Linked DNA regions of Mytilus edulis. The protein of the gene in region 1 interacts with the protein of each later gene in a biochemical or structural test. Links are inferred from orthologs where the notes say so. Each region holds a gene or a part of one and is shown in the gene's direction. Other genes may lie near its edges.

Region 1 (7,675 bases):
ATCTCCTGTAAATTGTGACAAATTTAAGGTCATGCCAGGTTTTTTTGGTAGCTATACAGGTATGGTTTGGCATTTACTCATTGTTGAAGAACATACCTTGATAAATAGCTAACTAAATCCACTTCACTTAACACTTGGACCTTTAACATAAACTTTAACCTGATAAAAGACATGCTAATTTATTAACTCAGACATCACTAAGCAATATCAAATGCCCTTACTATCATAGAATGTTACGAAGATGAATTTAAATAACGTACAGAGAACAAAATCAGTGTTTTAATTTGATTGTAGATGTTTTTGTTTTAATGTTTTCAATTAACCATAAGTATAATTTATTAATTTCAAATTTGCCCATTGAATTATTTTAAGGATACTCCAATGCATTATTTGGCTTTTCTGGTTCTTCATACAACCCAACCAAAACTGAAAAAGAAAATGATAATTCATAAATTACATAATACTGATACTACATAAATTTATCAAACAGAAATACTTAAAATATGTGTGAAGTATGGAAATAATAGAAAGACCATAAAAAGACATTACAACTGTCAAACATAATAGCGTCTTTGTGTTTGCTGCCTTCTATAACATGCAGTATAAACATGAAAAAAGATTTCAACCATTTTTTTCTGAATGTGTAATTCAGAATTCTTTTACTACTGAAAATTATGACATCTCTGCTTCATAATGGACCTTGAGAAAAAATTATTAAAAACTCTGAGATATTTCTTGTCATATGATACATGTACATTTGTACCTAATAGTGTACTTGCAGTTCCTTCACACCATGCATCATCATTACCAATTTTCCACTTATTACTTTTGCCATTTTTTTCAACAGCTTGACTCTTAATTATTGATTGATATTATGAGTCCAATCCATTTTACTTTTACTAAATAACATATGTAAACTTAACAGATTTTAAATTGGTTTTTATAATGACTAGTCTTAAGCATACACATGCATATTGAAATAACAAAAAAAATAAGTATGTATTAATCTAAAAGACCACTTTTAAGTTCATCCTTCGCCGGAAAAAACTTGTCAATTATACGCGCCTTTATGACGTCATTTAACAGATAGAGGGGTCGCCTGTATCCCTGCACCATTTACGTTCATCAAGCGTCTTAGTGATCGTCATAGTGCATGATAAACTACAAATAATGGTTGGTCTGTAGGTACTTAATGACAATTCCCTAATGACAGCAATGCTGATTGTCAATTTTGAGAATTCAATTTGCCGAATAATTCGTACAATATAGAATTATAGTTTTCCAACTACTCGCTCAACATTGGAATGGAAGTGACGACGCCCCTAAACGCACAAATGACGTTCACTAAAACCAGAGTTTTTGACGGAAATGCATCCAAATCGAAAGTTGTCTATTTATTTTATGCATCATACCTTTTGTTAAGGCATCTAATACACCTGCTTTCTCTAAATATTTTCTGAACTCCTCTCTCTTGCTGTCAGCTCCCTACAGTGTAAATTTTATTTCATAAGTGATCATTGCAAGAAATTTGTAGAAACAAGTCGTCTAGTCTCAAAGGAAACTGTATCATTATTCATGAACTTTTGAATCTTCACCTAAAAACCACCTTCAACATCAGCATGACCATGGTGGCAGTAAAACTATTTTTCTGCATTTATGGTGAAATATAATTTAGAAGAATACATTTTTTAGAAAGGAGAATGTTCACAATAGACTACAAATTTTCATATTAAATAAGTTTTGATATAAATACAAAATAAACTGTACATGTTGACCCAGAGCTATTATCCAGAATTTAAATTAATTCTGATTCATATAATTCCTTGTTTTAGTTTATATATCATTGATCATGTTGATATGCTTTATATATACACAAACTACATGTAGATGTGTCAAAGCGACACGAATGGCCCCATCTCCAAAAATTGAAAAATCTGCAATTTCAATTACACATGTGGACACAAACATGATGGTAGTCTCACATATAAAAGAATCAGCTAAAAATCTGGAGGCGTATAGAAAAAAGTTGTAAACCCTTAATTTTAGAAAAAATTAGCGGAGTGGAACAAAACTTAAACTTGATCTGTAACTCATCATTGTTAGCCACATACCAAAAATCAGCCCAATATCTGAAAGCGTTTAGAAAAAAAGTCTGTATAACAGCGATTTTCAAAATTTTATTAAAGTCCAAAGCCAAAAATTACAGCAAAAATTAGCAGAGCAGCGAAACTTAAACTTGATCTGTAACTTATGAATAACTCACAAACCAAAAAATCATCCCAATATCTGAAAGTGTTTAGAAAAAAAGTCTGTATAACTGTGATTTTCAACAATTTATCAAAGTCCAAAGCCCATAATTTTGTCAAAAATTAGCGAAGCAGAACAAAACTTAAACTTGATCTGTAACTCATCATGGAGAACTTATATTCCAAAGATCAGCCCAATATCTGAAGCGGTTTTCAAAAAAAACTCTGTATAATGGTTTGTTGTGGAATGACGGAATTTTGGAATTTCAGACAGGGGTAAAACTATATGTCCCGACCACTTAGTGGCGGGGCCATAAAAACTAAACTTAAATTCATTAAGTTTGTATTTTTTTTTTAACATTATTTGTTTGAATAAGACTATAAAATTGTGTGATGCTAGATTTGACTTCTAGTTGCTAAACTTGTCTTCTTGTCGCTGCTGTGTCAGAATCTAATGGAGTAATTCTTTCTGTCGAATTATACTTTCAAAATCTAACAGTACACTCAATTGCTATAATTTGTTCAAAACATCCTAAACAATGACTGTCTATACCGTTCGCCACTGATCCAATGTCCCAGACTAGAACAATTCTATTTGGACTAGCAAGTATTTGCAAAACATTGTTCAGACACATAATGAAAAATGGCAAAATATTGGTCTTTTCCGTTAAGTCTTTGGATTAGAAGAAGTAAATGTAGTAGAAGTTGGTAAAGTTTTGGTGCAGACTGATTGACTTGAACATCTTTTCAATTTTGTTGTACTCACAATAAAATTACACATAAAATTGAGAAAGGAAATGGGGAATGATTTAAAAGACAACAACCCAACCATAGAGCAGATAACAGCCAAAGGCCACCAATGAATCTTCAATGTAGCGAGAAACTCCCGCACACGGAGGCGTCCTTCAGCTGGCCCCTTAAAAAATATGTATACTAGTACAGTGAGAATGGACCTCATACTAAACTCTGAATAATACGTAAGAAACTAAAATTAAAAATCATACAGGACTAACAAAGGCCAGAGGCTCCTGACTTGGGACAGGCCCAAAATAGCGGCAGGGTTAAACAGGTCTATGAGATCGTAACCCTTCCCCTATACCTCTATAGTCTTTTACTTTGATTCTGAAAAATTGGAGACCACAACTGACTTTACACTAACAGTGGAGTCCCCACAGCCTGTGATATCGCACATTAGCTGATTTCATCATATCAACACATTAATATAAATAAAATCATTCTTGTTATTGTTTAAGCCTTCTGAAGGGAAAAAAAAAGAATAAAATTGATAAGTTCAAGAGTTCATTAATAACTGCAATTCCTTGATTTACCATATTTGGTCAATTTCCATTAAAAAAATACATCATCAGATAAAATTTGTTTTACCTAAGTCAAATTTAATTATGATATGAAATAATTTTTTGCTCTGCATCCATTGGCATCTTTGGCAGTGTGTTTCACTGTTTGGTTCAAATTCAGCTACATTTAGTAGTATAAAATCTTTCTTTTATTCAAAATAACCTATTTTTGTAAGGCATGCGAGAAATCACCAGACATTGGAGGAACTCTCAGAAAAGGGGATTCCCTAATTTTGGACACACATTACTAAAAATTCTGAGGATGAAACCATACAAACAGAAGATTTTATAAAATAAAAGTATGTTATGAAGTGTTCACACAATTTTATCCAATTTTTGGTTTTATTTGTTGAATGAAGTGAAGTCAAAAGTCTTAGGTGTGCAGATACACCGGACTGCACCGCAACATTAATTTAAGCTGGGATATAACTTCCTTGAATTTGTAAGACATTCCTTTTTTCATAACAAACTTATCCCATTATCTTTTTCTTCTAATTACCAAAACACATCTTTTATACTTTATTCCAATATTTTAACAAGAATAGAATAACAGTCAAACTAATTTGCAATATATGACTTTAAACAGAATTATTCAGAAAAGATTGAAAAATCTGTCCTGGGTCACCTTTAGTTTTTAATTAGTTTTACTGTATTTGATTCAAGTTCGTCCATTGAAACTATACGGTTATTTAAACAGAGAAGAAGACTATTTTACGCCAATTTTGAAATAAAGTATACCCTGTAAGTTGTCATGATGTCTGATGTTGTTCTTCAATCTCGTTTCAAACAGGTCCAGTTAGGAATGGTTGCTATCAAGGTTTCGGTAACATGCGCAGTGACCGGTGAAGAACCTAGATGATAACAGGTCTCAAATAAAACTTTACAATTGTGATAAACGATCAAGTCAAATTTAAAAGTTCAATGAAGATTGGTTTGATGTAAAACTGCGGAAGAAAATAATATGTTTTCTTGTTATAATGTAAAATGCCAAAGTAGTTATCATTTAGTTTGTACGGTCAAACTTAACTTCCGTTTTTCGGAATTTGTAGCTTTATCCATTTGTTTGATGAAAAGACCCGAAAAATGTAGGAAAAAAAATCGTCTGTTTTTGAGTTTTGGAGGCATTTTCAAAATGATTGGTGTTTCTCTAATTATTCAACGGTATTTTAAAAATGAATTACTAAATACTTTAGGTTGCTTTATGACACTGTTAAGATTATTTTCCCCTTTCCTGACATGTATGAAAAAGCAAGAAGAAGAAGGGTCTTTCGGTTTTAAGTCTTTTAAAGAGACAGGCCAGCACTGCCTCAGTCACTGAGTCAGTGCCCTCAATCATTCCTTGACTTATTTTCATTTTTTATTTTTTCTGTTGTCACAGAGTTACAGAGACAATCTCACCCTTCATAAATCAAGTGCAAACTGCTGAATAGATTACACAGGAACAAATTATACTATTACTATTTTGACGGGATACACCTTATCGTTATTTGTCCGCCATTACTGGATATCACACTGGTTCCCGTAAAATTTTGACGTCATAAAATAAAATATCTGAAGCCACAATGGAAAAGTGATTGTTGTATGCGTCAAAAGTTCAAGCGGCTGGTTCAGCCGGCCGATAAGGCTAATAGAGATAAGGTGTATTGCTTCCTTTAGAAAATGTGGTATAGATACTTAGTCAGCCATAAGTGGTTGAGCTAAGGAAGTACTTCTTTAGCCCAGTCGGTTAACACACTGCATTGTAACACAGAGGTCTCGGGGTTCGATTCCAGGTGGAGACAAGCAATTTTGTAATGAAATTCATGCACTCCGGACGCCACGATATAGCCTTTTTGTGCTAATGCGGCGTAAAGCAACCAACAATCAATCATGCTCTCCGGTTACATTGGCGCCCAGCTAAAAAACCCACATAAGTTAGAGAGGAATTCTAGCTAGGGTAATGTGTGTGAGAGTCATAATGGTATGATGACTCGTGAGGTTGGGGAAGTGTGACAGGATTGCTTCCCTTAGAAAATGCGGTAGATATTCTATAAGCGGTTGAGCTAAGGAAGTACTTCTTTAGCTCAATCGGTTAGCACATTGTCTTGTAAGGCAGAGGTCATCGGTTCGAGTCACGGTGGAGACAAGCAATTTTGTAATGAAACTTATGCTCTCCGGTTACAATGTCAATAGGGACAAAATTGGAGTGTTTAATTATGAAAAATGTATTACAAATGGTAAAATGTATCCTCATCTCATGGGTTTTCGTGGTATTAAAAATGCATTGTGACGTCACAATTTCTATTGAAAAAGCATTCATAGTACAAATTCATATTATGTATGAAAACAAATGATCAGACCATAGGCATAGAAGAAAGAGGTTAAAACTTGTAAAATATATGTACTTTAACATGCATGTTCAGCCATATGATCAGATGATATGGGAGGAATTTGCATTAAGAATAATTTTTTTGTCATCTGCTCGATCACTATTTTTTACATCAATGTGGAGATAGAAAAAAAACAATAACCATGATAACCCCCCTGGAAGTGAAATAGTCATTCCCTAACATGGACAAAACTATTTATTAAACTAGTTAAATCATAGAATTTGCACCTCTTTATTTTTGTATGCAGACTTTACATGCACTGAATTTTGCTGGTAAATTATATTCATTTAAAATTATGTGTGCCTTCTAGTTGTTGTGTGTAGCTTTAGTGATTGTGTTTTTTCTTCCCAGTTATAACAAATAGTTATGATACTATACAGTTACAGCTATTCAATTTTAAAGTACACTGTTTTCCATCTATTTTTCTAAGCCAAGGTATAAGAAAATTGTACATGTATGTAAACATATATAATTAACTAAGTTTTATCAACATATCATTTTCTGCTATTGATTATTTATTCCAAAACCAATGCTGAGAGAGAAAGCAGATATCACAATTGATGGATATATTTATTTGTCCCTCATAGTTATAAGTTTTACTTGTATTTCTTTGCTTTGTGGTTTAAGCTATAAGCTGTTACTCTTTATAAACAAATTTATAGAGCTTGCTCACTGAATGTTTTTCAATTATAAAAAAAAAATATTTTAATAACTTGGTAATAATCTTAACCATTTATTTCAATTTAGAATTGCATATCATTAACATGAAAAAATGGATAGCTTATCAGATGTGATTTCCTGCTGTCGTGGACTGTTGTTAGAAAAAATAACAGAAAGAAAGGTTTGTATCTTTTTATACAACAACTATATTATGTTTGTAAATCTTTTTTTTTGAATTAACTGAACCCTAAGTTATTTCAAAAAGTGTGATATCCCAACTCCCAGTGATAGGTAAATTGAGGGGCACCACACCTCTAAATTGAACGAAAGGTTCATAAACTAGGATTTTTTTAATGAAATAGACCAGAATACACAGCCATACTCAGTGCAAGTTACATTTGATTTCACACTCATCAATTGAAACAAAATGCTGGGGTAAAGCATTGTTTTCCACTGTAAGTCCACATAATATAATGAAGGATGAACACATGATGTCACCCCCAGTTAACTCCACCTTCTGTTTGTAAACTATATTATTCAGGGTGTTAGTACCTACAAGAAAGGTGTTTATGTTATAAATTAGGATTGTTATTTCTACAAGATAGGTGTTTATGTTATAAATTAGGATTGTTATTTCTACAAGAAAGGTGTTTATGTTATAAATTAGGATTGTTATTTCCTTTAACTTCTTTACAAATGACCTGGTTTGGTTTCATTATTTTAGAAAAGTGCAGAGAAATTTCGTCAGTTACTGTGTAAGAGTACTGTTATCAAAGCGTTGGATAGATATACAGACAGTAAGAATGCTGGAAGTTCTGATGAACAGTTAACTTGGGATTATGTCTTCAAAGTAAGTAAATCAATGAGACTTGAAGGAGGAGAAGTTATAAGACTCAACATAATAAAATTTAGTTATTATATTATATTGTTTTCCTAGCTTTTGGAAAATTAAAACTTTTATTTCTCATGTAAAGTGCATTTTGATTTTCAATACTTATCAAAACCTATGGATTGAAAGTGTATTCTTTAGAACCATATATGATAC
Region 2 (7,892 bases), on another chromosome or scaffold:
GTCGTCAATTCCTGTAGCTTTCCGTGATATGGCACGTATGACTACATCGAGAACCTCAGCTCTGGAAATAGATGCATTAAGCGTAGATACATCAATTTCAATATTAAAGTTCGCAGAATCAAGTTCCGTTTCGACACCGGTTTTTCGCTTAAATAATGAATGAAAATCGGTCTTCCACTTCATAACATTCATAACATCGCTTCTGTTTGTTAACTGAACCGTTCTCATCAACAATTGCCATTGGAATACACGGTTTACGCTCGTTGGCAATACCCAATTTACCAATAGATTTCCAGAAATCACGCTGATTGGTTTCACACAATTTATTTTCAGTAATATGTCGTTCATTGGCTTGATATTTCCTTTTAAATTTTCGGTTAAGACAGTCAAAAGTTTTTCTTTCGGAACAGTATTCTTTTTTTATATTTTTGCTTTAAAGATGTTGGTCCAGTGTAACGTAACCACTTCTTTTCAGCTGCTTTACTCCATTGACGAGCTAGACTATCATTCCAATAAGGTATAAAACGTGACTTCTTTCGTTTATCCCCACTTGAACTATTATAAACAGGTAACTTGTTGTGTCCATTTCACATTTAATTAAAGATTGGAATTCGTCGTAGGCATTTTGAACATCACTTGATATACTTCAATATAATTTTCTATTTTCTGAATAGCTTCCAGTACTTTATGAAATATATTCTCATTTAGCAAGAAATCATTTGGCACAGATGAAACATTATGCTTATATCTAGCATTATTCTCACTTTTATTCATATCCATATTCCTTTTTAAATTAATAGATAAATTCACATCACAATATAATACTGAGTGATCCGGAATACTATCAGGAATGTATGAAATATTATTGATTATATCTGACATTTGAACTATTTTGAAGTCTTCAATATTTTCCATATCTTCGTAAGGAACACATATATAATCTACTACAGATTTTCCAGTTGTAGAAACACAGGTAAATTGGTTATCATTAAATCGCCCATTTAGCATGCCGAAATTAACGTCACTTAAAAAATTAATAAACACATCTCCATGATGATTTTCTGTATGATCAAATATAATTCCTTGGTTTAACTAGATCAACACCTTCAATATAATCGGAGTGTGATCCTACACGAGAGTTAAAATCGCCACAAATAAATATTTTCCCTTTGTGTTGATAAGAATAAACCTGATGTAATAGATTTCGAAACAAGAATGTGTCCATAGTACACGGATGCCCCACTCGCATTATCATTTTCTATGTTCAGTAGACCGTGAAATTGGGGTCAAAACTAAATCAATTAAATTAGAAAGATCATATCATAGGGAACATGTGTACTAAGTTTGAAGTTGATTGGACTTCAACTTCATCAAAAACTACCTTGACCAAAAACTTTAACTTGAACGAATGGACGGAAGGACGGACGGACGGACGCACAGACCAGAAAACATAATGCCCCTCTACTATCGTAGGTGGGACATAAAAATACGTCCGAATCCACAGGTTGACATGAATCTGCAAATAACATATTGCAACACAAAAGCATAGTCTTGCAACCATAATACTCCCTCTTCCTCCTCATCTAAAACATGTATATCAAACATATCCGCTATATTGTTTTTCACAAATGCCCCTACTACTGCTGAGCTGCGAGTGGCAAGTTTATGCAATGCTTTCCTATTATTTCCATAAAATCTAAAACCATGAACGTGCAGGCGTTCATTTCCACGTAAAAATGTTTCACAAATTCCAATTATATCACAGTTAATGTAGTTTAAAACTTTTTCCCGGAAAATTGAATTTTCGTTCGATTTTGTAGACCATCCCCTGCAGTTCCATACCGCAAGCCGCACTGCATCCTATGTGCGCTTAGCTAAGAGTCGACTTCCTGCAAATTTATAGTCTTTGTCTTTTCTCATTTCTTTCAAAACGGTCCTCATCGCATTTTGGAAGTTCCTCGTTTCCAACGGCTTAAGGTTCATCATAAGGAATTGAAAAATATGGCCGTGTTTACACCTCCAAAATTACTATGAGTACAGACAAACTGGTACATCCAGGAAAGTTTTAAGGCATGGCAGGAACTAGATATATAAAAGTTATATAAAGTCTACGTTTCAGAAAATTAAACACTTACCTGGATTTTGATGTTCATTTTTTTTTCCAGTCTGCAGAAGAGAGCAAATAAATAAACACCAGAGTTTCATTTGATACGGTCCACTCACTTACACAGTTTAAACCTGTTAAATCACCTATTGTTTACAGGTGTCTATTGTCCATCTATTGTCCATTTAAATCAATACTACTCACAACATTGATTATATGAGGGGAGCTTCTCAATCGTTTTCACTACTTAGTTAATTTTTGCACCTTCTGCAGGAACGAAAAAAAAAATGGATAGCAAAATCTAGAAAAGTTTATAATTTTCTGAAACACAAAATGCATTTAAAATTTATATATCTAGTTCCTGCCATCCCTTAAAACTGTTGCAGGTGTATAGGTTAGTCTGTACTCAGAGTAAAATTTGGGGTGTAAATACGGCCATTTTAGCCAAAAGGTTATGATGAACCATAATTCTTTCGGACACTTTTACTGATATTTTTTCCTCCATGTTAGTTTTGAGGTCATCAATTCTTTTTTCTAAGCTTATACTCATAGATGTAAAATTTGCCGACAATTGAAGAATTAAATATTCAAGTCTATTTTGGGAATTTTCGCTATCAATCGCCGAGGGTGCACTCGAGTAGCTCAAATCACATCTACTTTTCTTGTTTATATTATCAGATTCGATGAAGTGTTCAGCCATTTGATCTGATTGGTGTTTTCTTTCGCTTGGTGAAGCAATGTTATAATTAAAAGTACTTACAGGCACATGTCCATTACTCGTCATCAAGTTGTTGACATACTGACCGGCGCCATTTGTACACAAACAATAATTAGAAAATTCATCCATCGTGTAATATATCCAGTTATTTTGCAAATTAAAATGCCCAGTAGATCGTATTTCCACTAAGCACTGTATATAGTTACTTGTTAAGTCGATTTGAAAAGCTCACTAGAGCTTGTGTTATGTAGTTTATTGAATATCGACTCTAAATAAAACTTTCAATCTTGAATCTTGAATCTAGGAATTTTTTTTCTGAACGAAAAAAAATGCTTTGCAAGGACTTGAAGTTTGAATAAAATCGCAAAAATTTGTGTTTTAATTTGTTTATTCATTTTAAGTATTATTTTCGAAATTTGATTTTCGAATATCCACAAAATTCATATGTAACATATATGTGTAATGATATTATATATCTGTTTTCCAACTGAGTTCAAATGATAAATGTGTGTAAAAATAAACTATAGCTGGTGCTTGAATGTCTCCTTCTAAACCTTCTTTTTAAAACATTTTTTTATGAATCAGCGACTCATCTTAGGCCGTGTTCACACCAAACGCCATGTATAATAAACTTGTTTACAATTAGTTTAATGTACTGGACATTGGTTTCACATTAAATTTGTTCACATCTATACACCTTGTTTAATTACCTGTACATAAGATTTGATCACACTTGTAAACTCTATGTTATTTAAATGTTCATTACGTTGAACCGAATGCAAAGTTTTCGGAAACTTTTCTAGCAGTAAGGGAACGACCATTTGACTTCAAATCGGGGACGGGGGTCTCGATGGAAATATTTCGAACCCCAATTGGATAAAAAAAAAAAGGTCCTACCGATGATACAAAAATATTCTAAATCAAGAGTTTCCCCATACATTATAGCGTTAAATGTTGAAAAAAAAATTGATTACCAGCATCGAAAAAACCCCGGAATAAAACGTTTGCGCGGAAAAATTTCTGGCTCAGATTAATTAACAAAATACCCCTCCCTTTTTTTTTTAAGTCAAGTGGCTGCTTCTTTATGAAAGCCATTTTGATGATTTGCAGTAGTTTAAAAATAATAAAGATGTCTCGATTTAGCATTAGAAAACGTAGGCTGCAGCAGCGTGCTTACAGGCGAAAAATATATATATTTTATCTCATAAAGCCAATGCATTACATCGGTACAGAGATTGAAGGAGAAGAGGAAATGATATATTAGGGATCACCATATTATTCCTATCTTTTCTGTTTGTTTCAAATGGTATTTCTTCTCCAAGGAGTATTTGACAAAGGGAGGGGGTAATGTTTTTTTTTAGTTTTAAGAGTAATTTAACGGATCCGAGATACATGTACTAGACAAACAATACATTTACCTCACACTTTTTAAGTAATGCATTTATGAGTGAATCGTTGTTTCAGTAAAGACCAGTGGCAAACATTTCTGTACAAGTCAAGTCGATTCGGAAAGACCTTAATTTTCAAATGAATTTTGTGTTCGGCAATGATGCTGCTTTGAGTCTTGATAAGGGCTTCAATAAAGCTACGTTAAGTTTAAAAATACCCAAATAAATATATCAAGTTTAGACAAATATTTCTGTAAAGAACTTTATTAATAACTGTTATAAATATCAATTTTATTCAAAAATTGTTTCTTCCTTAAATATACACGGTGAAACTAATGTTTTAAATGCCTAGTTTTGTGTACACTTAATATACACAAGGCCTACATCGAGTATCGACTGCATGTAGACAAAACATGTTTTACACTACATGTAAACATTGAATTTTATCAATGGGAACGTAATTTTGTTTAGTTTACGTGTGAGTTACACTTACACAACACCGAGTTTAGGTCAATGTGAACACGGCCTTAGGTGGGGGCATGTTCTTAGACTCTTTTTTTTTTAAATTACCTAATTCTAAATTTCTTTTAAAAAATAACACAATCCGGAAATTCAATTGACTCGATATACGACTCTTATATTATATATTTTAATTTAAATCACTCTAACGATTTAGATGATGCGCATGTGTGTTGCCGGTCCGCTTGTGCAACTGTAAACAGAAAAAATTAAGACATGGATATTCATGATAATATGCAAACAGTCCCTTCGGATTTCATTGATGGAGTTGACAGCGAAGAAAATGAAGACAATGCAGAAGTGTGGGGGAGAATGTTTCCACTTGGATCAAGTTTTATTGCAGTCGGTAAAAAACATGCATAGAAAATCGTACATGTTTTTGTGTGTTTTTATTTACTCTGCCTCTGGTATATAAGGTTCATCATCAAGGTTGGCAAAGTATTACCCACCGGGAAAACACCCCCGTTTTCCCGGGCTGGGCAATACTCCCAGAAATGGGTGATCATGGTGATAGTGGGCATTACTGGGCAATATGATTTTTTAAGCTTATTTATACACAAAATAGTAAAGACTTGTTATAGTTTCATAGTATAACAGCTAAATATATCCTTTTTATACAGATAACCATTGACAGTCATTTCTAGAAAATTCAATTTCATTCTCTTCTCTAGAAATGTTATATGTAGGCAGAATAGTGCACATTAAAAGATACCTTTTAATTACCATGATTACCAAGTATTGTTTCAATAATCCAAACTTTGAAAAATGCATCTTATTGCAGTGTTTAACCCTTTCACCGATTGCTGCCCAGACAGAAGCTACTCTGAGACGATGGCTTCCCTGGCTACTATTACTCAAGTGGGAGATCTTCATAATAAATGTCAATAAAAACTTGTTTGTAGTTATTTGTGTATTTACATACCTGCCAACTTTCACGATTTAGGCGTGTACTACACGATTTTGACCCTCTGTCCCGATTACACGATCGTGATCGTGAAAATAGCCAAAAAACACGATTTTAGTAATATTTACACGAAAAATATTTTTGTTCCCGATTTTGAACTTTTGAAAAGTTTTCCCAAGGGAGACAAATCGTGTCTGGCAAATTTCATCCAATCAAAATTTAGTGATCACGCATTCACCAGTTGATTAATGTCGGCATAGTAAACAATCAAAGAATCAAAGATTGTTAGGTATTTTTAGTTGTTTATCAAAAGTTATCACTTGCAAAATGGTTCTGTCACCGCCTAAGAAGAAAAATCGTGTTGCTTCGTGCAAATACTTGATTTGGGAGAATAATGTCAAGTACAGGGGCTGGTTGTCTAAATCAACGTTAGGATTGCTACATGCCTTTTGTAAAGTTTGCAACAGAGACTTTACAGTTGACCACGGTGGCCTTAATGATGTCTCCAAACATTCTAGTACTGCTCTTCACCAGAAGTCATTCAACGCACAACACATCACCAAGACTGTTTGACATTACAACTTGTGATATTGATCTATATAATATATTGTTGTTTTTTTGTTATCAAATTATTAAAATTATTACTTTTTTAATTTCTTGACAATGTATCAGACAAACATAAAGTCATCTTACTGGTGTTTATCTCAACAAAAAGAATACAACAATCAAACAATTTAAAAAAGATGGGTTAATATAACAGCATCTTCAACTATCACCCCCCAAAAAAGAAGTATGTCAGCCACTTTTAGGAGCCAAATCATCACACGAAAAAATGGCGCGAAAAATTCTACCCTCAAAAATGGTGCCGCGCACAAAAACCCCCATGGCCATTTTCAAAAGTTGGCAGGTATGTATTTATTTCATTCACTAACATCATGTTCACAGTTTTGTTCATGTTTTGATAATTTATTCTTCATAAAATATTCAAATTTTCAAATTTTCGGCATTATCTAGGTGAAATTCTCAAAATTCTGCTCTAAGACCCCAAATCGTAATTTTTTAACCCAAAACGGCATAAATTGAAAAATTTTATGAGGCTGTACAAATTCCTCGCACTGAACGATGTCCATTCCAAATGTTTTGTACATAAAACGACATTTTATGTCAAAAAAGTATACTAGTTTGGCTTCAATTCTTCCATATTCTTTCAAAAAAAATGTTCCCTCATTTCAAATTCTTGTAAATTCCGTAAATTTCGTCTGATTTTGACACGGTTTTCAACAAACGGAAGCGCCATGTTTACACTTTCATCCGGGTATTCATCAAAGAAAGATAACTCATGTTTGCACTGTTTTGAGCGGGAAATATAAAAGAGGTATTCCGATCCCGGTAAAACGGGACTCATCGTCAGCTGTCTGAAGCGTGAATCCCGGTAAACCGGGACTCATCGGCGAAAGGGTTAAGTGAATTGTTAATTTTAATTGTTATACATTCATATTGCTAAATAAACACCCTACAGGGTCATGCCATTAACACTTATAAAATTGAAAGGACTAATTATTGTTACATAAACAAATCTGTGTTCTAATCTGAATAATTACTTATTAAATTAGTGACAGTACATATACATTATTTAAATGTGATGTTTCTTTAATACATGCAATTCTTAATAGGAGCTATATTCATTTGAAAAAAAATGGTTTACTTGCTTTCTATTTACAGTTTGCCAATCTAGACAAATGCTAAACAAACAAAATGGGGTATAAATATCTTATTAAATGTATTGCATTTGTGTTTATCTCTGAATCCTCTTTAAAATTCAGACAAATATTTTATATTACCCAGTATTACCCACTAAAACCCAATAAAACCCGGGTTTTCCCAGTATTTCCCACTGGGCTGGGCAATACTCATAAAACCCGGGTTTTTGCCAACCCTGTTCATCATACCAAATGAGTAACAATGATTTTATTTTCATCTCTCAAAATGATTCCAATTTATCTGAAATGGTTGGTTGTTTTACAAATAATAACTGCCAACATTAGGCTTATGCATAATTTTGTAATGGTTGATTTTAAAAACTAATCCTTAGATTATCACAGGAACATATACATAAAATTGAGAATGGAAATGGGGAATGTGTCAAAGAGACAACAACCCGACCAAATAAAAAACAACAGCAGAGGGTCACCAACAGGTCTTCAATGTAGCGAGAAATTCCCGCACCCGGAGGCGTCCTTCAGCTGGCCCCTAAACAAA

Evidence for each region.
Region 2: of the proteins of serine-protein kinase ATM-like (region 1) and serine/threonine-protein kinase Chk2-like, one has a biochemical effect on the other in vitro, tested with the Homo sapiens proteins (6 studies listed by BioGRID, with this or other methods). The link is inferred for Mytilus edulis from reciprocal best matches to the Homo sapiens genes ATM and CHEK2.

The regions. Positions count from the first base shown.
Region 1 is NC_092353.1:10,605,741-10,613,415, reverse strand, and holds the start of serine-protein kinase ATM-like, read left to right. Parts: upstream 1-4,668; 5' UTR 4,669-4,762; intron 4,763-6,717; 5' UTR 6,718-6,742; coding exon 6,743-6,811; intron 6,812-7,354; coding exon 7,355-7,480; intron 7,481-7,675. Other genes in the region: c-Myc-binding protein-like, read right to left, coding at 378-426, 1,413-1,485, 4,340-4,354.
Region 2 is NC_092349.1:15,393,473-15,401,364, reverse strand, and holds the start of serine/threonine-protein kinase Chk2-like, read left to right. Parts: upstream 1-4,873; 5' UTR 4,874-4,945; coding exon 4,946-5,075; intron 5,076-7,892. UniProt on the Homo sapiens protein: Serine/threonine-protein kinase which is required for checkpoint-mediated cell cycle arrest, activation of DNA repair and apoptosis in response to the presence of DNA double-strand breaks.